3 linked regions of the Styela clava genome follow. The protein of the gene in region 1 purifies or fractionates together with the protein of each later gene. This does not show direct contact. Links are inferred from orthologs where the notes say so. Each region holds a gene or a part of one and is shown on either strand. Other genes may lie near its edges.

Evidence for each region.
Region 2: the proteins of tetratricopeptide repeat protein 4-like (region 1) and erythroid differentiation-related factor 1-like purify together in Homo sapiens (affinity purification with mass spectrometry; 3 studies listed by BioGRID and IntAct, counting the BioPlex papers as one, with this or other methods). This does not show direct contact. The link is inferred for Styela clava from reciprocal best matches to the Homo sapiens genes TTC4 and EDRF1.
Region 3: the proteins of tetratricopeptide repeat protein 4-like (region 1) and protein HGH1 homolog purify together in Homo sapiens (co-immunoprecipitation; 4 studies listed by BioGRID and IntAct, counting the BioPlex papers as one, with this or other methods). This does not show direct contact. The link is inferred for Styela clava from reciprocal best matches to the Homo sapiens genes TTC4 and HGH1.

What each region holds. Positions count from the first base shown.
Region 1 is NC_135262.1:5,476,262-5,486,902, reverse strand, and holds tetratricopeptide repeat protein 4-like, read right to left. Parts: upstream 4,442-10,641; 5' UTR 4,379-4,441; coding exon 4,304-4,378; intron 4,007-4,303; coding exon 3,932-4,006; intron 3,218-3,931; coding exon 3,102-3,217; intron 2,715-3,101; coding exon 2,589-2,714; intron 2,255-2,588; coding exon 1,498-2,254; 3' UTR 531-1,497; downstream 1-530. Other genes in the region: ATP-dependent RNA helicase DHX33-like, read right to left, coding at 5,177-5,747, 5,945-6,102, 6,447-6,618, 7,194-7,324, 7,926-8,177, 8,682-8,850, 9,482-9,635, 9,765-9,868 and 1 more.
Region 2 is NC_135258.1:7,334,837-7,344,919, reverse strand, and holds the start of erythroid differentiation-related factor 1-like, read right to left. Parts: upstream 5,059-10,083; 5' UTR 4,893-5,058; coding exon 4,663-4,892; intron 3,396-4,662; coding exon 3,152-3,395; intron 2,615-3,151; coding exon 2,497-2,614; intron 1,077-2,496; coding exon 941-1,076; intron 170-940; coding exon 65-169; intron 1-64. Other genes in the region: ATP synthase subunit O, mitochondrial-like, read left to right, coding at 5,643-6,287; F-box only protein 7-like, read left to right, coding at 6,786-8,315; BTB/POZ domain-containing protein 8-like, read left to right, coding at 9,038-9,102, 9,564-9,723. UniProt on the Homo sapiens protein: Transcription factor involved in erythroid differentiation. Involved in transcriptional activation of the globin gene.
Region 3 is NC_135250.1:1,700,035-1,710,624, forward strand, and holds the start of protein HGH1 homolog, read right to left. Parts: upstream 4,992-10,590; 5' UTR 4,940-4,991; coding exon 4,718-4,939; intron 3,648-4,717; coding exon 3,254-3,647; intron 2,997-3,253; coding exon 2,865-2,996; intron 2,642-2,864; coding exon 2,451-2,641; intron 2,096-2,450; coding exon 1,964-2,095; intron 785-1,963; coding exon 704-784; 3' UTR 1-703. Other genes in the region: uncharacterized protein LOC120337162, read right to left, coding at 8,028-9,645.

The sequences.
Region 1 (10,641 bases):
GCACAATAAATGCAGAGTACTGTTTCATGTTATAAACCAGGGTGGTCCAAACCCAGGCCCGCGGGCCACATGTGGCCTGCCGCTTCATTATCTGTGGCCCGCGTCACTTTCGGAGAGTAATCGAAAAATCGCATTTCGTCATAAATTATTCAGAAAAATCTTTTGACATACTGTCATCACTATACCACTCAATTAAATAGTGTTAAGGCAGCTAGGGAAATTGCAATTTGAATGATGTGCTTGGCAGTCTTAATTGTTATCCGGCTATCTAACTGGTCGGGAATATTTGCTAACAATATAGAAATCAGAGAAAACTAAATATTGAATGCAGATTCTATTAGCCTAGAATGGCTATGCCTGATAGCTATGTTTGCACAATAAAAGTGTTTGTTTTGTATTGCACTGTTTACCTATTCTTGGCACTATTGTGGCCCGCGGAGCCGACAACCTTGGACCCTCAACTATTGGTTGCACATATGAATTAACTTTTTGCAAATCTCCAATCTCGGACTTCTAAATAACCGCGATGGTTTGTTGTCAATGTTACACAATAAATTTTTTGTAATAAGTTTAACCATTAATGTCTCGGCAAATAATATAAAACGTTCAACGCAGCAGCTGTAGGCAACACACTTACCATCAAAATATTTGAGTGGAATTTGAAACTGTAGGCTATATCCCCAGTGCTGTGTTTTAGCTCAAAAATCATCTTGGACCCTACGGTAAAAATTTCCGTTCAAGGACACAGTTTTTCTTAATGTGGGCCACAAAAATCTTAACGTTCTTGTACATGTACAAATAGAAATGTCAGCGTGAGCGACATGAATCTGACAGAATTGTCATTTAAATTTTCATTGAACCTACAAATTTGGGACTCAATGCTTGCCCGCCTCTGGTCAAGTGTAACCAATCTAGCCGCATCCAATCAAATCCACAAACAGATATGCAGAAATATTTTTAGTTCCACCACGATTTGGATAAATTTGAAACTTTTTGTTAAAAGGTTTGTTTTATTTATTTAGCTTAAGTTGTCATACAGTATAATAAGGCAGCACTTGCGAGCAAAGTCCCAAAACATGAGCATGTCTTATTTTCACATTAATATCTTCCCAAATTTTAGGCAAATAGGTGTTTCATTATTGCACAAAACATTTCAGATGATTTTATGTCAGTGATATTTTTTTAAATTGATAAATCAATCAAACAATATTATGAGACGAAGCAGCATTGGCGGTCTACCACTTAACTATTGTAGTATGTGTACCAAGTTAGGCCATAATTTTATCCCGATTTTTGTTATCATTTTTTATATTTCTATTACGAGTTCGGGGCTGTTTGTGCTAGCCAAGTGAATATATCCACTGCCAATAGGTTCCAGTCCCTTTACACAACTTGATGTGAAGTGGGCGAACAAAATTAGTTACCACCATATTGATACACACACTTCTGGAGCACCGCATGCATGGGCAGTAGAAAACTAAGAAGCTTCATAAAAATTCATCTTGTACGATATTTTGACAAAAATACATCTTTAAATGTGGAAGTCTTTGACAATATAATGAACACTGGAGTACCAGCTTTTACTATTATATTTTCAGAAGTCAAGACATCACCCAAAGTGCAGTTTGAAGAAACCCTGCGAATCGATTTCCCTTCATTATTCTCATAATAAATTTCCAGGCTTCCGACTTTATAACAATTATGCGTATCCCAGGGGGGTGGGTCATCAAACATAATATCCAAATGATCATCAAATGTTGCATCTTCGTGAAATTGTTCAACAATTTCAGAAACTTGGTATTCTGGATAACAAAACAATACAGGCCATATTAGCCTGCCTTTTTCCGCTAAACAATCTAATGATTCGTCTTCAAAATGAACTTTTGCGTGTGAAGGATTGCTGGTATCGACGCTTGATAATGTTAACGAATCTTCCTCAGATAGCAGTTCATTTTTTTCAGGTTTTAAGTCGCTCAAATCCAACTTGATTTTGCGGTTTTTTATCGCATCAATGAGGGCTTTCATTTTTTTCTGTTTCATTCTTTCTTGCGTTTCACGTTTTCTGCGATCCCTTTCAGCAATTTTAAATTTCTTTTGTGCACTTTCTAACAATTCTTTAGCTTGTTTGTGGTCTTCATCAATCGAAACAATCTTTTTCGCCCACCGAATAGTCTCATCATGTTTTTCCAGCGCTTCGCAACACAGAGCACCTCTCAGAAGTGACTTGATTTTTGTTGGTTCAATATTTAACGCTCTGCAAAAAATTTGGTGTCCAATTGTAATAACAACTCTCATGAGTATCAAGTCAAAAACAAAATTTGAGATTGTAATTGAAAAAAAAAGGTTGGAACAAGGGGTACCAACTGGGAGTAAATTGAAACTGCATCAGTGATAAATTTGCTTGCAAGAAGATATATGTGGCTGTTGGTCACATAGAAGATTGCAAAGTTAGTTCCTACTGTCAATGGAATTCACAATTTTTGCAATGAAGCCGCGAGTTAAATATCAAATTAGTATCCTGCCATAATCCTAGACACAGAGCCATTACTATAGTATGATCAGTTTAGAGATTGAAAACAATAACCTACTTGATTGAATCAGCAATTGATGACCGATAGTTCTTCAAGTAATAATTTGCTGCAGCTCGATTAGAATAGAGAGTAGAGTTCAGAGTGTTATCAGAACATTGCTTTCTTAAAGCCACGGTATAAGCCCTGGAAGAAAAGATAATTCATGGGGAATCCTACATAACATCATCTTTAGCATGGTCTATGCAAGTATTCAGTAAGTAAAATGTATATGTGTTAAACAGGTGTGTATACAGGGGGCCAAAGAGACAGCACTTTATAGGGATGAGATTGTTGCCTAGTTTGATAATTCGAATAATAATATTACAAACATTTTACTCTTGCTTGACTTTTAATTTATTTATTCTCATGTAACAAGTGTTTCTAAGTCTCTTTTGACTGTTGAGAATACTTGATCTACTTTTTTGAGTTTCCGTAAAAATTTCGACTTCAATTCAATCAGAGTTACATTCATGTATAACAAAATGAAAATATGCCAAACTGCGCCACCACAGCCCTCATGGTCCATCTCACCTGACTGCTTGGGCATATAATTTTTTCTTGAAATGCCAATTTCCATCTTCTTTATAAGCAAGAGCCTGAGTTTCTGGAGTGTCATCATCATCTTCGTATTTTAGTTGCTGTAAACCCTGGTAAAAATTAATAAAACATTAGTTATATCTCAATGAACAACTGGAAAAAGCAGTTATATATAAGATAGTCAATTTATTCTGAACTAACAAATTTGACAAGGTTCAGCCGAGAACAGGTAATATTTACTTAACCAGTTTGCATCGGTAATTAATGATATAAGACCTTTATAGTAAGTGATTATACATATATCAAAATGCCCAATTTTTTTTCTATCCTTCTCAGTTGTCACAACTTGCGAGTCACAAGTTCAATTGAATGAATTGATTAGACATAAATTTTAAGGACTTTGAAAACGAAACTCGTATCATTTGTAGCATAACTTTTGTGCAAAGCGTCATAGATTATTAAAACTTTTGGGTACAATCACACACAAACAGCAGTTCTAAGTGTTGAATAAATTTGCTTCATTTTATTACAAATAACAGACCTTTGGGCTTTGTTTTTTAAGGTCATCCTGTATATATAACGGTACTCCAGTAGTTTGTTTACCAGGTTAGGCCATAATTTTATTTCGATTTTCCTATTTTAGTTCTATTACGAGTTCGGGAACTGTCTGTGTTAGCCAAGTGAATATAGCCCCTGCCCACAGGTTTCAGTCCCTTGACAACTTGATGTAAACTAAGCGAACAAAATTAGTTACCTTCATATTGGTACACAGCGCCTATATATAACAATAATTACGTTAATACATCAATATTGATTGATCATACCTGAAGCAAAGGACTATTTTCAATCATTTCTGGAGTTGGATCCTTGTCCATAAATGCTGGATGTGTTGCTAGGTACTTCATAAAAAAATAAAGAGAAAATAAAAATTTCAAATTTCTGTGGTCATGACTAACAATAAACTTATGATTCTTTTTCATTTGTTTCTAATCAAGATGGTCACAATTTAGATAAAATACATTTGATAAATAGACAATTTATTTTGGACCTCACCATAGTACAAAAAATGACAACAAAGGAAATTCAGTTGATAATAAATAAAGCACAACTGGTGTGCTATAAGTACTAACCAAAATTTCGGTGCTAAAAATTGGATAAATCCAAAAATATTGTATCAAACTATGACATAAACCTACATTATCGAAGTCATCTTCATCCAAACCATTATCATCTTCTTGAATCGGATCTGGGCTCTTGTTTATTTGTGCCATTATGATGTAATAGATTTATAAATTATTTTAAAAATCTAAGGAAAGGTTTGACATATTATTTGAGTGTGTGTGAGTTTTTTAAAAAGTAAAAATAAAAAATTGATTGGCATTATTTCGATCAGTAAAAGAAGTAAATACATAATCTGTACAAATCCAACAAAAATATTATTTATATACAATACATGTTTCGATCAATATTTTTCAATGTCGAATGTTAGTGTACCTTTGCAAACATACTTGGCTTTAATAAACATAGAAAAACAAGAAATATGATTATCATTAAGCACAATCCAAGTACAGCTCAAAACAAGAGCGCAAATATTAATAAAAGAAGATGCGTGTCTCAAAAATGTACACATTTTGTGTATCGTACTTCAAATGAATACTTTACATTGGGGGAGCGTGCAACATGTTGCCCACTTGGCAGTTTTGAATGCGCAGACCGCGCAATGAATTTACTTTAATCTGGTACATGTGGGTAATTCTAATCCCTTTGCGTCACAAATTCATTATCTATGCCTATGATGTTACAATGCTTTTTACTACTAGAAAGCCTATGAGGCCCGTGATGAAGCCCAGGTATTTGTATCAGGCCCTCAGGTATTGAAGGTTGTACACCCCTGCTTTGACCTTTCGCCAAGTATCATATCATACCTGAACATATCATGATTTCACTCCACATACTTAACTTCAACCATTTTCACCATAATATATATCTATCCTAACTCATGCAACATGGAGATAAAGGACGAGCGTGTGACACAGCATTTTTGAGATAACGCGAAAAGTTGGCCATCCCTATTCTATTTTTAATCTTCTACGAAAATACTCCGGTGCCGCGTCAAACAACCATTCTGGATCAATAACACATAAATCTCTGATATAACATTTCGAAGTATAAATTAATTCATTATAAATCACGTAAGCTGGTTTGCAACGAAAAAGACAAGACGAAGGATGGATTTGAACTGTTTGCCCAGTGGACAGCGCCTTATAAGTCCCGTCATGTTGTAGTTCCGCGGCATTTACAAACATCCCAGATGCCACGCTTTTTCGTAGCTGTGCCATGTCTGTCCTGTTTGAATTAATATCTTTAATTCCGGCTTTAACACACAGATCTCGTAACTGACGTCTTATGTTTCCCGCCATATTTAAATTACGAGTGATAATAAAATTGTCATAGCACCACCCAGCGTCTCCTTTGTATTTTTTGAATGAGTTATAAATGTTGAGTAACATGATATGATCGCCTTCGCTAGAGACAAATTTTTGTTTTGCCGCATGAGCTTCTTCTCGTTTACCATGTGGAACATATAGAATACTGTCAACAGAAAGTAGCGCAACAAGACTGATTGCCTCCTCAGTACACCTGAAAAAAATTAAATTTAACTAATTAACATTGTATAGTATTTGTTATTAAATATGATATGAAATAAACAATTCTTAGTCGACTTGTTGCACAGAAAATTCAAAAATGTGGGAAACACTATGAACAATAAGAAAAATGTAATGCATTTAACCATTTGCATGAAATTATGCTTGAATAAATCAAAGTATCTATTTTACCTTCTATCCGCAGCTGTTGAAGCTAAAATAATCCTTGATAATTTGGGATCCAGAGGAAAAACAGACATTTTCCATCCAAGATCGGTGAGTTGATATCCGCATTTTTTACTGATTGCTCCCAAAATTTGAAGTTGATTCAAAGCATCCTCAATAGACTCCTGATGTTAAACCATAAAGAGAATTAGTAGGTCAGTTTCAAAAGAGCTTTACATGCAAAGAGTTTGAAGGAATGATTGGCAGAGGAGGTGACACAATTCAACAGGATATACTCAAAACAAGTGAAATATCGATCCAAATAAGACTTGAGAAAAAATTTAAAATAGCCTTCCAGAAACTACTTTCATCTTTGAATAGTGAAAATGGGAATTCCCAACCATAAAAGCTAAAATTTTGCAAAAGAATTGAAACGATGCGATAACAGCCAAGCTTTTAATGAAGCACTTAATTCTAGGTGTTCTTGCTTTCTTCTACTGAATAACAGTTAAAAATTTGAAGGACAAACCTTTGGAGGAGGATCCATAAAATCAAAGGTCTGTACATCTGTAATTCCGATTGCCATAAGTTGAAGAATCACACTCGATAAATTGCAACGAAGTATTTCTGGTTTGGTCATTTCATCCATTTCTGAGTATTCTTCTTCTGTATATAATCTATATACTGTCCCAGGACATTCTCTGTTATGAATGGATGTTGTATTATTTGTATATAAAACTAAAATAGGACGGATGTTCTGATTTTTTATTGCTTATCATCCCAAATAGGTGCTCCAGAAGTATGTGCACCAATATGGAGGTAACTAATTTGGTTCGTCTACTTTACATCAAGTTGTGTGAGACAGTCATCGAACTCGCAAAAGAACTAAAATTAGGAAAATCGGAATAAAACTATGGCCTAACCCTAACCTGGTACACATATTATGGGAGTACCCCCAAATATAATCAATGGAGTATTCATATATACATGTTTACAAAAAATACAAATCACATTAATATATCTGTCAACTTTTGAAATTTTTTCGATAGTATTTCAGCAGTATGGATTACAGGCAGGGCTGGGGATCCAGAGCTTGGAGCAGTGATGTTTTGCTGAAGCTTACCATATCAGATGAAGCTGGAGCCAACCCAAAGCTACCAGAAACTTCAGCAGTACACTGCATTTGAACTATTGCTCCATGGAAGAGGTTATATCAAAAAACAATCAATTACTATAGGAAAAGTCGACTATTTCTAAAGTCAAATTCATAATTTACCTTCCAGCCCGACCTGCCCTTTGCCAAGCTTGTGCTTTGGATATTTTCTGAACTGCAAGAATATCCAATCCCGTTGACGGAAGAAAAGACTTTGCTTTCACTCTTCCAGTATCAATCACATATTTGATACCCTGGAAGAAAATGGTATTTGTTTAAAGTATATGAGAACGTTTGACACATATTAGACAAGTGAGATTGCCTGTGAAGTACTTTCACTTTCATGTCATATAGTTTTAAACCTCATTTGAGGTTTTCCAGACTTTCCAGAATTTCTTTCCTTTGTGTTTGTCTTCTATACTGTAGTTTATTTGTACCATGGCGGTTCCATTTATAGTCCACAATATATGAGATGGATATATATATATATATAGAGGATTATTGTTGAAAGGTTTGACATTGAAATATCAATATAAATTAACACAGATTTTAAAAATATCCTTCAAATATGAATAAATATAAAAAGAAAGTTTGATTCACTAAAAAAATAAAAGTCACTAAAATCACTAATAAAAGTCACTAAAAGTCAATCAATTGGTGCTACAAATGTTTCCCAATTTAAAACTGATAGCATCACTATAATTTAGGTTGATGGGAGGGCTTCTATGTTGTTGCATCGGCGAATAATATAATATTACAAATAAACTACAATTAGTAATTAATTATATCTAATTCTGAATCATTATATCATCAATTCAGGATAAGAAAAATAAAAAAATTGTAAATATAACTTGCTTTTATAGTGACAGACGTTTCAGCAATATTCGTGGCAAGAACAATTTTTCTTGCACCTTGAGGCGTCGCGTGAAATGCTTTCAGTTGTTGGTGTTTGGGAAGGGATGCATAGAGTGGATAGATGAGTAACTTTGGAAGGTTTGAAGGAAGGGAAATCGATAAATCTTTTATTGTTCGACACATCGACTCAATTTCTTCTTGTCCAGTTAAAAACACCAGAATGTCTTCTTGAGGATTTGATTCTTGATGGATCTGTTATTAGAAATGTTACAAATCATCCTAATCAAATTTCATAGAAAGGCCAATGTTACAGTTCTAAAATGTAAAAAAAAAAAACTTTTCTGCAAATTTTCGTAGCTTTCTAGACCCTTGAAGACTCTTAAAAAACCATATTTTTAAGATGATGCGATCTAACTTGGCAACTGGAATTTCAGAACCATCCCATGTGAAAATTCCTGGCTACGAGTACGACCCTGGTCTCCAACTCCAGATATCGAGTAGTCTGTAATAATGACTTCGGCTTTTACTTATCGTATATCTCCAGTAAGAACTGCACAGCCCTGACTCTGACTATGTTGCCATTGATAAAGGGAAATTGGTCTGAATACTTTGCGGTTCTACAGATTTCTACATGCCGTTCAGATTTTGCAGACTATACAGCGATTTCAATTCTTTGATCACTCAAAAGATAAATGATCAAATTATCATTTGCAATTTAAAAGAGTCTACCAATAGTCAATGACGCAAAATTATCACCTGAAATATAGTAACTAATGTTGCTCCGAGGTAGTCCGATTGTTTTTCTTCTGTGTATAAAATATCGATTTTATGTAACCGTCCTTCGAGGTAGAGTACAGGTGATTTGTTGAAATATTTTGAAAAATGATCTACGTCCATGGTAGCAGACATGATTATGATACGGAGGCTGTATTTACATAAGGAAAATAAAATACTATAATATAATGAAATGCAGGAAAGCAAGGCTCAGCTATACTACCAGTAAGATCCGAGGTTAGCTCAGCAAACTTCACTGAAAATATTGGCGCTCCAGAGTGTGTGTACCGATATGAAGGTAACTAATTTTGTTCACCTACTTTACATGAAGTTGTATAAAGGGACTGAAACCTATGGGCAGGGGGTATGGTATATTCACTTGGCTAACACAGTCGCCGACTCGTAATAGAACTAAAATTAGGAAAATTGGAATAAAATTATGGCCTAATCCTAACCTGGTACACACACTACAGGAATGCTGCAAAATGTAGAATTCATTATAAAAACATTCCCATGAAATAAATGAAACAAAATCTTGAAAATTTGAGTTTTTCCATTTACAAGAAATAATGCAGAAATATACTTGATTGAAAGATAAATAAAAGAATGATAGTCAGTAGTCACAAATTATTAATTTAACTAAACTAAACCCCCTTGTAAATAAACAGGGGTCAAAAATATAATATAAACAATAAATATCTGAATTTTTGGCAAATATTTGCAATTTATTAGTGTTGAGACATAAATTATTCAAAAATTAGTAAAAACATAAAATAACCTACCCTGGCAAACCTTTCTCTTTTCTAGACTTCTGTGCATCTTTTACGATTCCAAACAACACATCAGTATGAACAGTTCTTTCATGAGCTTCATCTAACAGAATGGATGAATACCTTGACAACAAACTGTCTCCAAGTGACTCTCTCAGCAACATTCCTGTGTAAGCAATAGTTGAAAAATTTTTTATTTTGGAAATCATTTTAAAAATTAAAGTCAAAAGTTCAAGCACCATTTCAGGAAAGTCAACGTTTCAACAGGGAAGATAAAAATTGAAAATGAATATACCGTCTGTCATGTATTTTATTCTTGTTTTCTCATTTGTACAATCTTCAAATCTGACGCAGTAACCGACTTCTTCACCCAACTTAACATTCAATTCAGCTGATACTCTAAAAATAAAATTACAAATCAATAAATTTCCTTTAAAATATCTCAAAACTTTATGGACACCCTGTTCAAAGTTGTGCCATACATAACCAGTACTTATGTCACATAAAAAAAATAAAACCAATTGATTCAAACTGTAGAGTGATTAGTATTTTGCCAAACCCAGAGAACAAACACTAAGGTTCCAAAATACACGAACAGATTCAGAACCGCTTTGAGGTAAGTAAGGGGCAAGCGTACTAACAGCAAGAATGCCCAATTTATGTGGTAATATTGGTATATTTATTTTAATTTGAATCCTGAATTGTGTCAAATTTTAAAAATAGAAATTACAGTTTTGAATACATTCTGGAATAACATTTTTCAAATATAGAATACAGAGTTTATGTTAAAATTGGGTCATACTGAACAACAAATATGATTAGAGCATTGTAAATTAATGGAGATTGATATTCTATTTACAAGGTTAGAAGTCTTGACCATAAAATTCCAAATTCTCAAAAGAATTTTAGTCTAGTTATTTAAAATAAAATATTGCGCAAAAATGATTTATATAGATGAATAAATTGTAGAAAATGGAGTAATCTAAAATATATGATTTCATTGTATGTCAAATTGCACAAATACAATTGCAAATCAAAACATAAATCTGTGGTTTTATAGTTATTCATTTTACATTTGAAGTTATGACAATATTTTCTATTGAATATACTGAAATAACATGAGCCAAATGTATATACCTTTGAGCAATAGTAATCGCTGCTACCCTTCTTGG
Region 2 (10,083 bases), on another chromosome or scaffold:
GTTCATAATAGAAAAAAATGACAAAAGGATATGCATAGCTGCAGTCAGCAAGGAAGTATATTACCTTTCTTTATTCTCTTTATCATCACTATAATCTTTCTCAGTTGGAGAAAACTCCTCATTTTCTTGAGTTTTGTCTTCAATTTTATTCAAAGAATCTTTGTAAATGCTGGAATAGTAAGGTAGTGTAAGATCATTTTTTAAATTGTGTGAAGTTTTTGTCAATATGTAGATAATCCGTGTGGTATTTTAATAGTTGGTCTTTAGTCACATTTAGTGGTCTTTTTATGTATCATGGCTGCTTGTACAGAGACCTATTCAGAATGAAAGTGTGAAAACAAATCAAGTATCCCAATTTTACTGCATCACATATGAAAGAGTATAATATTGTACGACCTCTCTACAAATTAAACTTTTTCAAATATGGACTCATTGCTAAATGTATATCATGCATAAAACAAAATGATAAAAATTTCTTATTTCAGAACAAAAGCACAAAGTACCCTTTGGAGATGCTATTCTTTGAAAATTATATGCATATTACTCAGAACAGTAAAAAATAAAACAATTCTTTCTCAATATAAAAGATTAATAAAATACACATAAAAGTTGGCATAGAAAATTTTTTGGGGAGCGTGAAGCTGACTAAAAATAAAAATATTTGTTAAATTTGATCTTGCCTGCCTTATTTTGGATAGGCCTATTTACTTTTCTTTAATGTTCAGAGATTGCGATTCCATCCACATATTTGCAACGTGTTTTTTGAAAAAAACATACTTTTGCTTTACTATCTGTTATTTGTATCATATTGTTAGCTTGCTATTTTATGAGGTGGGGCACGAGACTTGACAAAATCTAAAAAAGGGTCGCTACTTAAAAAAGTTTTGAGAACCACAGACAGAGTATTTCAAACAAAAACCATAAAAATGTGGTAGCCTACCTATAGTAAAGAAATTTTGACAGCATTAGTCTTTCATATTGTGAGGACGGACTTTTTTTCTTAAACAAAGTATTGCTTCCTTGTTGCTGTTGAACTAATTCTTGATAAAAGTTACGAAACCATTCCCATTCTGATTCTGGAAAATTAAAAGGAAATATTGAAAGACAAGGTCGGAATCTGAATAGATATTGGTTATTTTAATGAATGTCTCATGTTTGGTACAATGGTGGATTTCTCAAACTTGACCCCAGTCTCCTTTTGGTGCTATGAAGCGGTTTTCTGGGAGGCACAAGCAAAAGCCTTCACAAATCACAACATAGTATTCAAGACGACCACATTAATTTAAAGTAAACCGACTTTGATTTGTTCAATTCTTTGACTTAAATGCATTCATATTTTCAAGTCTCATTCGAAGTTTGGCGAATTTCTTGAATTTCCATTCTGTGTCATCAAATGTTTGTACCATGGTAAAGTTCAAAATAAATTATCTTATCTAATTCTTACATATTAAATAATCACTTGCAAACTCAAGTAGACAAATACTTCAATATAGGAAAGTCAATAAAATTTAAATTGGAAATTGACCATAAATTGAAATATTGATGCATAATAGCAGATAAGAAAATGCAGAAACAACTTCCTTTTACTCTCACAAGTCACAAGACATAATAATGATGGCTAGAATGAACTATATATTATATTTAATGTAACAATAAAAGCATGGATTATAACAGGGATGTGCAACCTGCGACCCGCAGGAAAAATGAGGCCCTCAAGAAAAAAATTATACAGCCTGCTAAGAGGTGCCAATTTTGAATGACACTCATCCTAAATAAAGGTGCCGCCCGCAGTTTCACCAAGTTATTTATAACTAGCTCTCTTGTATTGCACTTGCACACTCCTGGATTATTACTTGTCGATTTTAATCGGTAAGTATGTTGATAGGTGTTTGTCTGTCTGTTTGTCTGTTAGATGCACGCGAAAGGGAGATTGAATCTGCTCCAGATTTTGCATGTGCATTCATCATATGTCGTACCAGAAGCCTATTGATTTTGGATGAATTATGTCGTATAATTAGCGAGTTATTAATAATTAGTGATGGGACACAAGGTGTCATTATGGAGTAAGAGTGCTGTTTTGGGGGATCCCCTAACTTTCAATTCATAAGTCTTCGGTCTCAGACCGATATTCTCGTATTATGCTTTGCTGGTAAGAAACAATTGATACATTACATTCAAAATAAGATGTCAAACTTTAGATGATCACATTCAATTGCAGATTAAAACAATACTTGTTGAATATGAGGTATTCACTATTTACTACTATATAAAGGTCCGTAAAGTCCCTTTACAATTTCCATTTTGTTATGAAGTCAGTTCCCAATATATCTTACTAACCAGGTTCGTTGTTATTTAATCAATAATTGTTTGAGTATTTTTACCTCATTTATTAATACATCTGTGAGGGCCAAAACGACATATGGGTTCGATAAATTCCCTTCGCTATTTTAAAAAAATTTCAAGACTTTATTATATATACAATCATACAAGTCTCACCCTCAGCAGTGAATCTTTTTATATCAAAGTTTTCTAATAACAAGGTTCTACCAATCCTGTGTATTGCCATGCTTACATGGGCCTTGTTATACGGCATCTTCAGCAATTTCTTGATATTCTGAAAAAGAGAAATACAAGTTAGTTATAATTCTCAGCAGTTTTCAAGATAGGGTTCATACCTTCATTACTAACGGGGTTCTGGACAAATAGACACTAATATGTCATGAGCTAATATTTTCAGAAAAACTCGTATCTTTCTCAAGTACAGTAGGACGGGGTTGAGCATCAGGAACTGAAGGTGTTCAAAAAGACATGTTTCACATTTGTGCTATGTGACATATTCTATATTCTAAAAATTCACATACAAGGGCTTGAAACATTGCACATGAAAGATTGATTAAAACAAGGTTACAATTATTCACTCACATAAAACATACAGAACTCAAAGAACTTATTGAATTTAATGTTTGTAAGATGAGTATGTGAAAGTTCGTTACAAAACCAGCAATTGTAGCACTCGAATTGCAATGCAATTGATATGTCGATGCAGATGAAACTAATTTTAGACAGAATGATATAATTTATATAATAATATGGTTTAAAAAGTTCTATTTACTTCAAGAACGATTATATATAATGTGAACATAACACAAACCTCTGCATCTGACACAACATCTACTTTGCCGACACTATCAAGGTGGCCACTCGCCATACTGAATCCACTGAACGAACGATTTGGATTACTTGAATATCTGCCACCTGGCAACACAGTCTCTGGGCGAAGTCCGACCGTTTTTCGAAGCCAGTTTGAAGGTGCCAGATTCAAGTTTGTTTCTGGAGCGAGATGGGAGAACATTGCATTGTTTTTTGTTGCTGAATATGCTATGATGGCTGATGACCTGCAAATGTTATGAATTATTTTATGAACTTGCTTATGACATTACATTTAAAAAAATAATGCATTGTATTTAGAGTTAACCGACTATATCAGAGTAGATGATTAAATATAATCTTGAGTTTAAATTCCACCCCACGCAGAATGTAGTAAATTGTATAATTTCCCGCAAAGCTTAGTGCAGTGCTTTCCTGGAGATCTTTGATCAATTATTAGGGAGCTTTCAAAGTTAAGTTATTATTAATTAAGACTACTTCGAGAGTTTAGTATTTTTAGTCGATGAAATTTTGTAATATTCATTCAACCTCGCCTTAAAATTCGTTTATGAGTTTTGGTGGGTGGTGTAGCCAGTCTGCTAACCCGTTAATTTTTTTAACCGTAGGTGCATTGGCATTTATTCTACACGCTAAACCTCGAATAAACTTTCTACGATCAGGGGTTAAAGCTATACAAACTACCAAGGTACGACACTCAGAAGATGTATTTGCGACCGAACGACCAGTGTGCGATCACGGATTTCAAGCCATGAACATTGTTTCTGCTGCGTCGATGCTAGAGCATACGCAGCCATGCGTGAAAAAATTGGACTACTAATTGCATTTCTGGCCGTCATATATTTTAAGAACACGGTCATTTCGAACAAAACTCGTCAAATTATATACAAAGCACCGCATCACAGCAATCAAACAGACAAAAACACGGTGGTTGCAAATTGGTCAACAAAGATATTATCGACGTATTGGAAATCGCACCCTCCTATTCCCCCTCCTTTAAATGTAGAAGCGCAAAAATTTAAAGATGGTTAAAAGAAATACAACTCTACCCCCTTGCCAAATTTCATCTTTTTATTTCTTATAGACCTATTTGTATGGATTTTCAAGTATTTTAATGGGACAATGGGTAGTTGGCGACATGAAAAAAGGTCCTTTATTTTTCTTCAGTCGAGTTTTCAATCGTAACTTTTTTGTTTGTGGCCGCATTTTAGTGTAATTTCGCAGAACTATGAGGAACAAGTGGACGATACCGCATGAGAAATATCGTCGCGGTTCGTTAATTTTTTCAGCCTTAATTAGATCGATGAAGTTGATGGCCGCAAATAGGTCGTGGCCTCAAAGTGGGTAAGCCACCCTACGTCTTTTCTTGCTTTGGGGATACGATGCTTTAAAATTAATCCAAGCACAAGAACACACACTTAAAAAAAAATAAAGATTAAAATAGCTGGCGGTTTTTCCACAATTCAGTAATTTACAGAATCAAAAGCATGAGCTAACCTAACAGAGGGATTTCCTTCTATTTTGTCCAGTGTTTTGCTTGTAGATGGTTGGGAAACATCCGTTTTTGTAAATCCAAAATGTCCAGTTTTCGCCGATATATCAAGGAAATCCCCGTTTGTACATCCATTGCCATTTTCATTCCGCTTGGATGACGATGAATGGGTAATTGGTGGAAAATATTCATCATTTTTGATGTAATGAGACGAACAATCAGGCGGAGGTTCCATGTTATAGATGTACTGTAAGCGACAATGCGCTTCTATGTGTCAACAATCATCTAAACTTTCTATAAAACGAAAGTCAGACTATACAGGAACTTGAAAATTATTAGAATGTTAAGAATTCTATTCCGGAAAATGCAATTCTTCGGCAATGTCACTTGCCATTTCTTTTCGTAATTTGAAACAACAAAGACATCACCTCGTTACTTTTCAAATTATATTTTAAAGAACAAAACTAACATGTATATTGAATTTGTTCTCAAATCATTTTTATACTGTCCACATGAAATTACTCATATTTTTTCGATAATAAATGTTACTGAGTGATTTAACATTATTAAATCTGGCAACAATATTTGTACGTAGAACCTCTACTGCCTCTATGCGTCATAAAATTTGCAGAACCCTGATCGCCAGTGGGCGACGTTGAGATATCATCAGAACAGTCAAATACTCATGCCAGATTCACCTGTGAAAGCAAAAAAAATTGAAAGCACAAAATGTTTCCTTATGTTGAAATTGATTAATTTTGTTGGTTTCAAGCAATACATTCATAATATAATCTTTTTATATATTAAGTATTCAAAATAACTTGTTTCTATAATCATATTGTATATTTTTATAGATTAATTCTGGCAAGTAAAATTCAATCGGTCGACCTTGCACAGAGGTGTGTGTACTACCTACCTTGTAACTTTGTAGACGCGTTTTCTTCACTTGTTGGTTGGTCCGTTTCGTTTCGTTTTAGTTATAAACATGGCTGCGAATATTACGAAATTGGTTTGTAGAAGGCTCAGCACGTCTTCGGCTCTTCGCCAAGATTTGGTGAAAACGCCAATTCCTGTGTTTGGAATATCCGGAACTTACGCACACGCATTATATTCAGCTGCTTCCAAAGCTAAAGCAAAATCAGAGGTCGCGCAGGATTTAACCACATTGCAGGAGATTTTGAAGAATCAGAAAGTCGCTGATTACATGCATGATCCATTTGTTGAAACATCAAACAAGTTAGGCCTCCTGAAAGAAGTTGCTAGTAAAGTCAAAATGACATCCACTGTTGTCAATTTCTTCGGAGTATTAGCTGACAACAGACGTCTCAATCTTGTGGGAGAAACTGCTGAAGTATACGCTCGAATCATGAGTGCAGAAAGGGGAGAAGTTCCAGCAACAGTTACCACGGCAACAGAGATGGATGTTAAGCAACGAAAAAATCTGGAAGCAGCATTAACCAAATTCTTGAAACCGAATGAAAAATTGATGCTGACGACAAAAGTTGATCCTACAATTCTTGGTGGCATTATTGTTGATATTGGCGATAAATATACAGATATGAAATATGTTGATATGTCCACAGCTAGTAAAGTTGCCTTGTATTCAGATTTAATCAGACAAAATGTTTAATTTAGCATTTCAACTCATCTGCTTCTTTAGGACGTTTGTTTATAGAGTATACTGGATTTTTAATGTGATATATCTTTTAATGTATCGCTTTTCAAATATGCTACGGGATAAGAAATATCATATTATCAATTCCATGTTTGTATTTAATTTGGCTTCTGTCTCATGCACCCAACAACCTAGAATTTATATTTTATAGTGCATGAAATATTTAATAATTTACGTATCAAAAAAATTCTCAATTTAGTTCATTGCTTCTAAGTTTCATGCCTATTTAATATACTGTTTCGACTGTATTTTACAATGATTGTCAATTTCTGCATTGATATTGGTTTTCTGCCACTTTTCTATGTGATTGAATATGTTCCCATACATTTCTGCATTTCTTGGACCTGTTTTGAATTGATATTGAATTTGATCCCTGTATCTTGTGTTTAAATTTAGATAGATATTAGGTAAAATATAGGTTAAAAACATAAGTTTTGACAACATGAAATAACAATGAAGCTAAGAGTAAGATTCGAGAAAAAGACGAAAATAATAACTATTGAAGATGAACCGCAACCTACATTTGAAACTTTGAAGTCAGCAATAAGAGAAACTGCGTTTGGAGAATGGGGAATAAATATTGATGCTAGTTTTCACATTAGTTTGGATGGTAAAACATGTGCAGGAGAAGGAGAAAGTAATTTAAAATCAGCAGGAATTGTATCTGGGGATCTCATCAAGGTCTTGCTTGGTGATAATGCATTGGTTATGGGAATTTCACAAACTTCTGTGGAAGAAAACACATCCTCGGTTACTCCTGTGATGTCTGAAATGTCCGTGGCTTCAGAAACCTTTGAGCAAGATCAACCTGGTCCATCAACAGTTACTGAAACAGAAACTACAGAATATATACCTTGTTCATCACCTGGTCCCATATTTTTCAGAGACTGTAATGGTTCATCTGATGTTCCACACTTAGTGCAAAAACTTTATGAAGATGATTTTATTAAAAATGAATTTCAAGCGCTTTGTATCGCTTTGCATTTTATGATGTGTGAGAGTGGATTTTATATTGAAGGAATGACCGAGCATAGTGACATATTACCCCATTTACAATCTCGAATATTCGCAGTAGAATACAGTCATGCAGCAGGCCCAGATTTGAAATTCAATTTCACTTGCAATCAGCTTGGTTCATTCGTTCTTGTTAATGGAGTTGCGCAACCGTGTCGCAATACCAACGAACAAGTCCTAACTCTTCAAATAACGACGAAAGACTATATTCAAAGTTTCACAGCCTCCACTAAGAATTCTAATGCTGCCGCTGTCTACAAGAATTTATCAAAATTGAATCGACAAGTTAAAGAAACGATCGCTCATCCTGCGTTGAATAACATGAGAGAAGAGTTGCAACTCCCACCAGTTCATGGACTTTTGTCGTTATTTCCTGAAATTTTACAACTAATATTTTCACAGCTAGACTGTAAAAGCTTGATATCTTTATCCCAAGTAAACAAAGCATTACAGGACATAACCAATGATGAAAATCTATGGAGAAACTTGTATATAAAGGATTTCAAATCCCATCCCATTAGTGTTGAAAATTCTTGGAAAAAAACATATTCTAAGCGTTTCGTTAGAGAAAAGGAACGTAAACAAGACATGGAGCGCTATTATCGTGATTATCAAACTGACCCCTGGCCCCAATTTCCGACCCCAATTCCTGGTCAACCTGTTCCATTTCCTGATCAGCAACCATTTGGAATGATAGGTGGTGAACATGACTTGCATCCAACTTTTCCTTATGGACCATTTGCAACCCCACCCAGACGCTTACCCCCATCACGACCCAATCACCCAATGCATCCAGATAATCCTCTTCCTGGTTCACGATATGACCCCATATTTCCTGGTGGAGGTTTCAGACCTGGAAGGGGTGGTGGAATGATGGACGCTGATTTTGAAGGGTTTGGGGCTCCAACGATGCCTTTTCAAGGTCGCCAAAGAAGGTCACGACATGACCAGAGATATGGGTTCATGTAAATTAACTTTAAATTCCCATGTTATTGTTACTTTACACTCTTCTCCCTGCTACGTGTGATTTTTTTTCAAATCTGTGTGTTTACAGCAATAATTGAGATGATATAACAAATTCATTTCATGCAACATTCTGTAGGCATCTGTATAATTACAGGATAAATGCAAATAGGAACATTTCCATCACATGGCCCCGTTTGTGTCAATTGTATCAAATAGTAAGCTGTTTTCTAAGCTTGTAACGTTTCCTAAATGACCTAGAATGTTTGTGAATCGTAGTAAAAATAACTGCAAAAGTGGTAAATTCAATTACAGATTGTTAGCTGTGAAGTTTTCACAATTTTTATCTAAACCTTTAGATTGCCAGAATAGCTTAACATTAACATTTTAGGTTACGATCATTTTAACTTTACTTGGTAGGCAACTTGTTTTGAAAATAAGCTCAATCTTACTAGATTTTGATGAATCGTCTATATTCAGGCAATAATTTCGTTGAAATATATTTTTTAGTTACTGATAAATGTTGATTGTGGTCTTTTGTGATAACTCGCCGATCTTCTTTTTTGTGCTGATTTAATTTGAAATTTTTGTGATATAAAACTTCAGTTTCTTTATTTAATTTTACGTTAACATAAGATTTGAGCAATAAATATTCTTTAATGTTTTGTAAATAGATTGACTTTTCATTCTGTGTTTGAAATTGGAATGTTATCACCAGATCTTTGAAGATGGATTTGACTAAAACTAAATTATCTAAGAACCTCGCTCGAACGTTAGAAAAAGATGTAAAAAGGTAGGTAGCATATGAATTGGGTTAGAGTGCTTTGTGTGTTGAGCAACCAATCATTTGTGTTAAAAGCTAATTAAGGTTACAATTCATGTCCAAAGAGTTATTACAGCGAATTCGTATCTCCACTTTGAGCTGAACAGTTTGCTAGCCCCAGCACTGGCTTCAGGTATATAAAAATTTCATCTCACTTAGTTCGAGAAGGCTCGAGTTTCCATCTAAAACTGTGATTGTCTGAATAGCGTAAAAATTTAGATTATCAGCATTCCAATTTGATGTGGCATGTGCAAAAATTCTAGTACAAGTTCAGACTAGGAAATGAGCTCAGCTCATGACTGAAATGACTATCTTGAGGATTTCAAAATTCAATCTTATTAAAAAGCACGAAATTTGACTATATACAATGGACATCAGGAAATATCAGTTCAGAATTCATAAGACATTCAGTGGATTCCTTTCCATTACAGCTTTTCTGATAATCTCACGGAGATGACAGGTTCACTCTCACCAAATCTCCTTCAGTCGAAGCTTTTGTTAGATTCCGATCTTCCATCACCATCATGTGATCTTGGACAAAAGCTGTTGAATGAATTTTTCCATCCACAAGCATCTGATATTGTACTGAAGGTAGGCATTGGGATATATACCAAAATTAATGTTCAGCAAACACATGGGAGGTACCTATAGTTTATAATTTTTAAAACTGTTATACAATTTTGGCATTCTTCATGGAACTGCTTCTTTTGGTCGATTTGTTGGACTCTCCTACACAAGAATACTGGTGTTTGCATTTATGTTGAGTGTATATGTTGCACCACCGATTTTGGCATAGCTTTTGGTTCAAAAAAGTGTGACCTATGTGCGAAGATCAATGGTATCTGAAAAGTAATTATGGTGATTGCTAAATCAGTAATTAAATTGAAGAATTGAAATTCATTTTAACTAGTAGTAGCATGCAATTTTGACAGAATTTCAACCATGAATGAA
Region 3 (10,590 bases), on another chromosome or scaffold:
TAGAGTTATTTAAACGACTGAATTCTAGTTACTACGTTTCAAAGACAGTCTATATCACTGCAATAGGAATTACTCAATGATTATTAAAATGAATAATAAGAACAAAAATACAATTGGAAAACATTTTTGTCATGATTTTTTTTAACTCTCTTATGCATCTTTCACTCTGGATAAGGCAGTAACTGAGAGATACTTTGATTTTATAAAATACCCATTGGGTTCAAAAAAACATTTTTTTTACAAGAGTAAGGATTAAAAGAATGACTTTGGAGTGTTTTGATGGTCAAAGCACCTATTTTCTGAGCTCATGCCCTCTGTCTTCATCTATCCTCGCATATGAGCTGATTTTGAAACTCAAAAAAAAAAATTGTCAAATTAATAAGGAGTTAGTTGGCTTATACTCGCATTAAAAATTATTCCTTTACGCAGATAACACTAAATCGCATTAATTCTCTCCTGCAACCATTTACTGTGACAGGTGCGTACGACATGTCACGATTTGTAGGGTCGGCTTTGTACAAATTTAGCAGAATTCTAGGTTATTCCACCTAGATAACTTGAGTCACTTCAAGCACTTGTGAATAAAAAGTGTCTCAAGTCCACTTCAAGCCCGAGTCAGGGGTCCGATCCTTGCCAGCACTGATATAATGTCTATAACAGTGAATATGTGTTCGTTTAATGATGCCCAACAGTATGATCTCCATTATGTATCAAGTTTTAACTTCTCATTTGGAATCTCCCATAAATTTTCCATCCCTGGTTCTGGTTCATCAGCTATCAGTATCTGAAATAATGTGGCATAATTAGAATTCAACGACCAAAAGTATAGTTTGCTATTCGCTGTTTGAAAGGCGAGTGGGAGCCATTTATGTGTGTATTATTTTTCTGCTATAAGATGCCTCAGATTCGTATAGCAAAAAAAGTTAGAGCGTTGTTATCATCATTGGCATGTTAGGGAAAAGATTTTTATGCTTTACTGCACAAGGGAGCATTTCTGATTGAAAACTATTTTAATCTTACACTAGGTAGCGCAATAGAGCTACATTCAAGATAAAAGTATAATTGAGGTTTCGTCACTAATGCTACAACTCTTATACATAATGCAAAGCATAAAATTGGGGACAGAGTGGAAGTTGGATTGGGGAGGGGTGAAAGTTGGGGTAAGCAAAAGAATAAATTTAAAAGGGGATTCCCAAATTTTGAAAATTCAGGATAACTACGTCAGTAGGCTCGCAATTATTATAAAAACTACATTTCATCATAAACCGGGAATGACCAAGACATATTCTTTCAAAAACTAGAGCCATAAGACTCTGATTATCAAAATCATATGACATGGCCGAAGATATACTATATATATATATATCTTTGGGACAATTGTTCCTTATATCTGAGCATTATATTTTACTGCTTTATCATATAATGAGGAAATTATAAGGTATTTAATAATATAGGGCATGTTGTAGACAGTAACTGTATCACTTAGCAGCACTGATCTGTTCAGCCCAACTAAGTATAGCATAGCCGTTGTGCAGGGCTTCTGAAACTGGGCTTCCATCCCTTTACGGCCCAAGGGCTAAATCCGCCTTTTTGTGTGCCCCAATCCAAAATCCTGCCCACCCTTGCTGTATGGGTTCACAGGGTGGTCCTCTGAGGGCCATGAGAAAAGGCCTTCACCTGGTACCGTTTGCAATGAATACTGACCGTAACTTGTCGAATTTTTTTACTCTAATGCATTTATTCTTTTGCTTCTAGTTATTGGCTTTTCAATATTAAACAGGGCTCTAAGATATCTGATGAAAATGGAATAACTTAATAAAAAAATAGGTCTTGTTATAGAAGCGCGGACGGACATCAGGTTTTTGGAAAATTGCGGATCATGTAATACCACTAGTCAAAAACTTGGATCCTACCAGAAGTAAAAATGACTGGAGATATGAAAAATGTCATGTCAAAAACCTACCTGCACTAGTTTTTCACATTGTTCTCCGTTCTCCTCTGGGCCATTCTCAATTTCCCACTGGTGCAATTCTCTGATAATATAATAAGTCCCGGAGTTTTTCAGGATCATTCTGCCTGGCTTGTCTGCACAGAGCTGGAAAATAAATTCCGAGTAATATCGAGTATTATAAGTGACTCAAAAGACTTGCTACACACTTACACAAAACTATTTCTTTACAGTTTAAACTGAACAAAATCACATTTTGTGACTTAGACAACAACAGAAGTTAACATAGAGTGCCAGTCTTATCACTTTTAATTCACTGGGTAGTGAATGACTGAAGCTTCTGCCCGAAACCCGTAATTTTCTGTGCCCCCGAAGTATCCAAACAAAGATGGCTGACACCGAAACCTAGTATGTGTACCAGGTTAGGGTTAGGCCATAATTTTATTCCAATTTTCCTTATTTTTTAAAGTGTGTATTATACACTGAGAAATACATTACTTACAAGTAATAAGCTTTCCAGAAGTATTATCCTTATACTGGAATCGGGTTCTCTCTTTTTATCTTCAGGTAAATATTGTAAATCGAGGGGGAGTGACTCATTTTCGTCCTCAGAAAACTCTTCACCCCCAGCTAGTGGTAACAGTAAATGTTCCAGTATTCCAACTTCTTCTCCGAGAAGCCATTCATGATGTTCTGAATTGCAAAATTACAACTTGTTGGAATCTTTTGTGACTTAATAATATGGCATACAAAAACTCTTGTCCGAACACCAATTATCATCGCAATAGATGACCAGTTTGTTCAACATGAACTAAAGAGTGGACAAAACTGTGATACGAGGAATAACTGAAGATTTTTAAACAAATCTAATATAGCCATTATCGTTTAAAATAAAAAAAGATTCAGTGATACTTGCCATGATCAAAACAGCAATTCTTGATGGTCATAGAAATGCCCCGCCTCCTCAGTAAGGGGGACGAATCAGGATTGAGAAATGGAAGTAATTGTCCAATCAAAGGAGATTCATGGTCCAGTAAGAGTTTCCTGCCTGTAAAATGAAATTTTAACTGTTTATTCACAAATTTTGATTTTCCAAATTTTTTTTAAAAACTTGAAACATTCTAACAGTCTAATCCACAGAGAATAATATTTGAAAGCGGAAATTTTGAACACAGATCTCAACAATATTTCAGAACAGAGATAAATTATAATGGCTTACCCAAAATAGTTTTGAAGAAATAAAAGCAACAAATTATTGAATCCATGTAATAATTGAAGTATGAAAATTATCTTGAGAAAAAGTACCTTTTACTGTCTGCGTGACATTCGTTAAAATGGTTCCAATATGATCCAACGTAGATCCCTTTTCATTAAATTTGGTTTTACAAAAAATGTCTATAAGTTCTTTCAATTTTGAATCAGAAAAATCATCATTTTTATCATTATCTATTTTCTTTTGGCATTTTTTCAAAAATTCCAACGCTCCTTTTTCCGTCCTTGTTAAATTATTTAAAATTTTGCAAGCTTCGTCAGCATGGAATGATTTTGGGTCACATATTGTTTTTATAAGATCTGTTATGATGTCATAATCATTGATGATTTGCTTCAATGCACTGTCATCTGCTGATAAATTTATCACTGCCTTGTAAGCATTGTCTGAAACTTCTTTAACTTTGTCCTTCAGCAATGAAAGCAGAGCCTGAAATAAATGGAAGTTTGGTCATTGAGTTTGAATTAGTCGAAGGTTTATACAGCAATATGAGATAAGATAACGATAAGATTTCATATTTATCCGGGGGGAGCGGAAAGCCGATAACACAGCTCAAACATATGGCGAACCATGGCCTCTCATCCAGTTACCAGTTTATAGATAGATAGATAGTTTATTTCGAAAACTCCATAACAAACATAAATTAAAAATGGAGAATTCTGAAGATAATGTGAGGAGTGGAATGTAATAAATTTGCGACGATAGTCATACTCAAGGAGCCATGAAAGCACCAAGAAAAACCAAGCCATGAAAAACTACATTGATTGCTAGATTGGGCATTGCGGAAAAGGTGATAAGTGGTTTAATATACAAACAAACGCAAAACCATGGCGCAAATTCGGTGTGCGGACACTCATAAAAGCAATTATCAGGAAAAACACTATAATTATGTTGGGCATACTGCTGTCAACCCTTAAGACATGGAATTAAATTCCACCTAGAAGCGCTCCGGTAGATATAAATATAATATAAATAAATTAATACCAGTACCGGTACTGAAATATGCGCCTAAATCTTATATAGACCGTTATTGTACCGGTACCGTACCATACCGGTGACGGGCCATGTTCACAACACAATGTAAGTATCTTCTAATTGGCATGGCACAACCATTTGTGCATATGTTATTCTTAATCACAATCTGACTACGTCATTCGTCACAGTAACGTAAAAAGGCCCTACAAACTATCATCCAAGACGCGCAGACGATCACCCGAAATCGAGCATACTATCTCTCTCGTTTTCTCATCGTAACGATCACGATACGAGAGAGATCGCTGGCGTTAGTGAGTTCGTTATCGTTGGTGAAGATGCCATTTCGGGCGATCGTAGCTATACTTTGGCAAGCTATTTGACGTGATTGTGAGGTCGTAGTGACGTAATTTTTGGATGACGTAGCCAAGTGGGAGTTACAAATAACATATGCAAAAATGGCTGTGCCACGCCTAATAGAAGTACTTACGTCGCTTAGTGAACATGTATCCCGGTGACAAACCTACCTCAAAAACATCTTTATACTTCAAAATGAAAGCAATTCCATTCGCATCATTAGTCAGACCGACAACATTCTGCAGCGCTGCTATCTTTAGCTCTGGCTTTGTAGAAATCCGCAAGAACTGAACAAGTTCTTGGGCAACTTTTGTCTCAGCCATCTTCGTCACCGAGGAATGAGGATGCGTGCGGTTTACGATGGCATCTATAAGTAAACTGTGGCGTGGCATTCAATGCCGCTTTGTGTCTCACCAAGTCCGTGCATTCCAGCATGCATTCTTGCAAATAATTATCCCTCTCACATCGAATTTGAACCTGCCAACCCACCGAGGGTATTCAGATGCGCGGTGGTGAGCGGCCCTAACGCTTAGCATGATGCACTACACCGCCGGTAAATCACCAAACCACTTGTTGATTACGGCTTACTCCAACATCGAGTCCATGCATCTGAAACAACTGGCTGACTAATCCCATACTAGACTTGGAGTGGCAATCGGACGAGAAAACGTGGTTCCCAAAATATTATCGCCTTACCACTCACCCAGGATAAATATGTAAACTCGCCTCCTCTATTAAAATTGAACAATTATATATTTTCTTCAATCAAAACTGTAACACAAATGCATAATCTAAGTGAACTGAATAGATACAATTTGATTAAAAGCAAAAATGCAATGTTGGTTATACAATCCTGACATGAATATTACATAACAAAAGTGAACAATTTTCAGATAAAGTTGACATCAAGCGCATACATCTGAAAACAAATTTAAAGTTTAATTTGAAAAGTTTATAAAAGTTTAAGTTTATTTCGATCACATAATCAGCAATATACGATAAAAGAATAGATAAAAACAAAATTAAAAGTACCTGATTATAGAATCGGGAGAGCAAACAAAACCTCGAGTAAGGTTTGAAACGAACAAATTTTAGATGGAAAGGTATTGATAAAAGAAGTAGTACGTGTTCGCTCACCCAAAAGTAAAAAAAAAAACTAATTAAGGCACGCACACACACACACAATCATCGAGACATGATACTGTCGGAAGTGAAAAAAGCGAGACTTAAAATCAATTAAATTACTCAGTAAAAAGGAAAATGTACAAACAAATGAAAAAAAATGAATAGGCCTAAATTCTTTTGCCACACTAAATCAAAAATTTTATGAGGATTGCCAAATTGGATACCAAATTAGTCAACAAGAGTAATATACTGTGGATAGAGAAGTATTCTTCAAAAGATATTGTCAAGCTGATTATAATTGGAGTCACCTAATGCCAAATCAGAATTGCCAAGTTGGATGTATGAAGAGGTGGGCTAGACCTGCTTCACTCATCAAATAGAAGCCACAACAAGCCAAATAACGTCCAAATTATTTTAAATACTTTTAATCAATAACAGTACCGGTAATCATAATTAAAATTAATTAGGGCTAGCTAATCCCATGCCCAATATGGACTGGAGTGCGCAGGCAATTTTTTTAGGGAACGTGAATTCAATTAAAATATTTGTTAAATTTGATCTTACTCACCTCATTTTGGATATTTAATTTATTTTATTATATACTTTTTATCCACATATTTTCAATTGTTCTTTCGGATAAAACAGGCTTTTGCCTTACTATCTGTTATTTGTAGCTAATTGTTAGCTAGTTGAGGTGGGGCTCGAGACTTGACAAATTTTAAAAAGTAAGAGAACCATTGTATTAGAGAAAGATTAGTTCTTTGACTAAATTTTTTAATAGTATACACAAAAGGCTTAAAATCATTCAATTTCACCCAAAATTGGTTATATAAACTAGGGGTTCTCAAACATTCAATGTTACGGAGCCCACAAAGAAGTTGACTATTCTTTACAGAGCACTACAAATAAATTTCGAAAAAATAAATAAAACAAAAAACACATTGTTAGTTACTGATTGATATTCCTGAGTAAGTTAAAATAACTTTATTTTATTTAAATGCTAAAACTTTTGAATCTAACTTTCACAGATAAATTTTATATACCAAATATTTTAATTGAAAACGTCAGTTAAGAATAATAAAACTAAAACGAAAGATAACATGATAAGTTTTGTTTTAGCAGACTCGCGACAGATAAAAAACGCCTTTCTAGACATTGTAAATCACAAACTTTGGTGTTATGTTAGGTTATTCATGGATGTTATACCGTAGTTACTGAAATCGAAACACAGTCAATTGTGTGCCAGATATACCTTTTTATCCATTCTGAAACTACCGACGGAGCCACATGCGACGTTTTCTCGATATGTGGCGATATATAAGATAATTGCAAAGATTAATAATCAATTTGTTATTGCGGACAAAGCACATGTCAAACTTCCGTTTACTTGACTTTGTTGTTTCTCATTTGTTGTCCGCGGATTGCCGTGGTAATTTTAACATAAGTCAACGTATCCACAGGTTACATTAAAGCCAATAAACAAGGCATTCGAATATGAAGACATCGGTCAAGGATTGCATAATTGTAAATTGTACTCATTGAGATTTTAATGCCGCTGAAAGGGCGCTCCACAAGTATGTGCACTAAGATGGCAAACAGAGGGAGAGAGAGAGAGATTTATTTTTTCGTCAACAACCTAACCTGGTGCACATACTATGTTCAGGTTGTGCGTCATCTTGGTGCACATACTACAGCAGCACCGCTGAAAGAACAACTCAAATTTGATAAATTTTAGAATTGCAAAAATACAATTTCAATCTATAGTTGGCAATTTAGCACTTTATTTTTTTAGAATAGTAAAAATATTTTTTCATTTCAATAATGGTAATGTCGATTCAAAGGCAAGAAATGATGAACACAATTAAATTATTATGACAAGACATTTTAAATGCACGAATCGGTCATGGATGGAAACTCGTTGTCAACCGAGATAATGGTGCCCTAGAATATCCAATTTTGAACCCAATGTTGTATTTGTATTACCACCCCGTTGTCATATTTGGACTGTTGTCAAATTTTGACAAGTAATCGAATAGCGCAAGGCGCCCCCAGGTTACTCTAGCGGAGCCCTGGGGCTTCGTACAAAGCACTTTGAGAACCCATGATATAAACAACAAGTGGGAGCATGTTGCATCAGCTACATTTGTATATATATAAATTAGAAATTGTGCCGGTCATTCAGTGTTTGACATACATATAATAAACATAGTTAGGTCTAACATTTTTACGAGTTGAACTGCAAAAGCATCAAAAGATAGGTTAATTCAAGTTATAATTTGAAATTGCTTTGATGATTTACTCAGATTTCACCACTGATAAAATTTTATTCTGAAAGCTTTGAGTCTGGTGATTTTACTAATTTCTGTGTAATTCTTCAGACCCACTGGGAAGTGTACTGAACTGGTTTGCATTTTGTACTTCCATGTTCACTGATTGCGCAGCAAACTTTTGAGCAGGCGGCTCATTTTCATCTGGAGAAATAGACAGATCTTCGTCCCATTCAACAGACCCACTGTAAAACGTATTGAGTGAGTCTAACTTTTGCTCTTCCACGTTCACTGATTCAGCGTTGGGTGGCTCATGAAGTGGATTTGCATCTGGTGAAATACACAGAACTTCGCTCAATTCGTCAGAACTACTGGGAAGCGTTTCAACCAAGTCTGATTGTTGCACTTCCATCTTCACTGATTTAGCAGCGGGTGACTCTTGAAGTAGCTTTCCATTTGGTAAAATAGACAGATCTCTGCCCGTTGCGACAGACCCACTGGGAGGCAATTTTTTCATTGATTCCGAGTTAAGCAACTCATGAAGTGGATTTACGTCCGGCCAAAGAGACTGAGCTTCTCCGAATTCTTCAAAACCACTGAGAAGCGTATTGAGCGAGCATGACTTTTGCGCTTCCTGGTTAACTGATTCCGGGTCAGGTGGCTCATGAAGAAGCTTTGCATCCGGTGAGTAATCATGTGCAACAGATCGAGCAGAATTTGACGGCTGATCACTACCTTGTCGGTTCCAAATATAATCATTAGGCATTTGTTCCCCAGATTGTGCAAAATATGCAGGGTTATCGTCATGTTGTTGGCCACTAACTCCATAATCATGAGGTATCAGTGTCACAGATTGAGCAGAATATGAATGACGATCATCACCTCGTTGGGCACGAATTTCATAATCATGGGGCCTCGGTGCCCAAGATTGAGCAGAATATGCAGGCTGATGGCCACCATTTCCATAATCATGGGGCATCTGTGGCAAAGATCTAGCAGAATATGCAGTATGATCGTCATTTCGTTGGGCACAAATTCCATAACCATGGGGCATCATAGTCGCATATTGAGCAGAATTTGAAGGCAGATCATCATGTTGTTGGCCACCATAATCACGGGGTCTCGGTGCCACAGATATAGCAGAATTAGAAGGCTGATCACTTTGTTGGCCCCAAACTCCATTATTACGGGGTCTCGGTGGGACAGATCTAGCAGAATATGGAGGATGACCTCCACCTTGGTGGCCCTGAACTTCATAATCAAGACTCTGTGCGACAGATCTCATCTGTGTTGAGATACCTGTAGTCATCATGTTCCTACCTAAAGTGGCTGTAAGATTTTTTAAGTCTGCGGAAATCTCAGCATAAGTTCTCTGTGTTAATTTGTCATCCCCCATGCTCACATCAAACTTTTGTCCAACACTTCCCTCTCCGGTAGCATTAATCTCAGTTTTTTGGAAGCGAAATTTCCAGTCAAGAAAAAAATAATTTTCTTCAATTATGTATTCATTGCTGCCATCGACATCCATTTTGAAATTGATTTTTCTAAGACCTTCCAGTTTATCCAGATTAATCAAGCTCATCGAAAATTGCCTATCAACACTGAAAAGCGGACTTGTCCATCTTGAAGAAAAGTTCACAACTGTGCTGACGGGTTCGACTTGAATATCTTGTCCATAGAACTTGGCTCTCCCATTGTCGCCGTAACTGAAACAAGCAAATTGAACACAATATGAAAAATCAATTGTGACACTGACAGGATATCAATAAAAAAATTATAATAGATAATAATGTGCAAGAGGATTGCCGGGCTCTTCGCCACCGTAGAGTGGAGTGGTTCATGTAACTGCTAGTCAGTTACGGTTTCCTCCACCATCAAGTCCATTCAAGGGTTGTTGAAATTTTTGGAAAACTGAGAAAGTCGGCAATATCGCGTATAATTGCATTTTGCTAAAATCGCTGTTATTCAGGCCATAAAAACCTCTCATGGTAAATCTCTCTAAATCACAAATTTGTGCCATGACAACGATGATGATTAGGTGCCGGTACATATTGTAGTACTCACAGAGAATTGTGAATCAGGTGAGAATTATTATATATTCATCGGCAGCGAAATGCTAAAGACAGATAAAAGAGTGAATCTGTGACACAAATTTATGATTGAAAAGTGGCAATGTCAAAGACTAAAAATTACAAACATTACAAAAATTACAAACCACAAACAATGTAAGTTTGTTGTAGGAGGCCTGTGACAAATTAATGTTCCTCTAGGCCAGTGGTTCTTAAACTTTCTCGAGCGCGACCCAAATCTTGAGTTTTAGGAATACTCGCGACCCAATCCTAAATAACGCAAAATGTGTTTTTAGTGTTAGTACAGTTTGACTCAAATACAGACAACTATTTATTAGAAACAGTCCATTGACTCAGTGAGATTGATGTAACTGAAATTTCCTTTTCATTATATCTCCAATACACAGCTCTATTTTACTTAACGCAATACGCAAGTTGTCACGCGTATCGAGGCCATTGCGAGCTTAGTTTTGATAACCTTCAGTGCCAAATATCCTCGCTCGCACAAGTGCCTTGTCGCGAATTGTAGCAGAAAAGGCGCCCGCTGTCCGTCGCAAACACGACATCCTAGCTGGCCTTCGG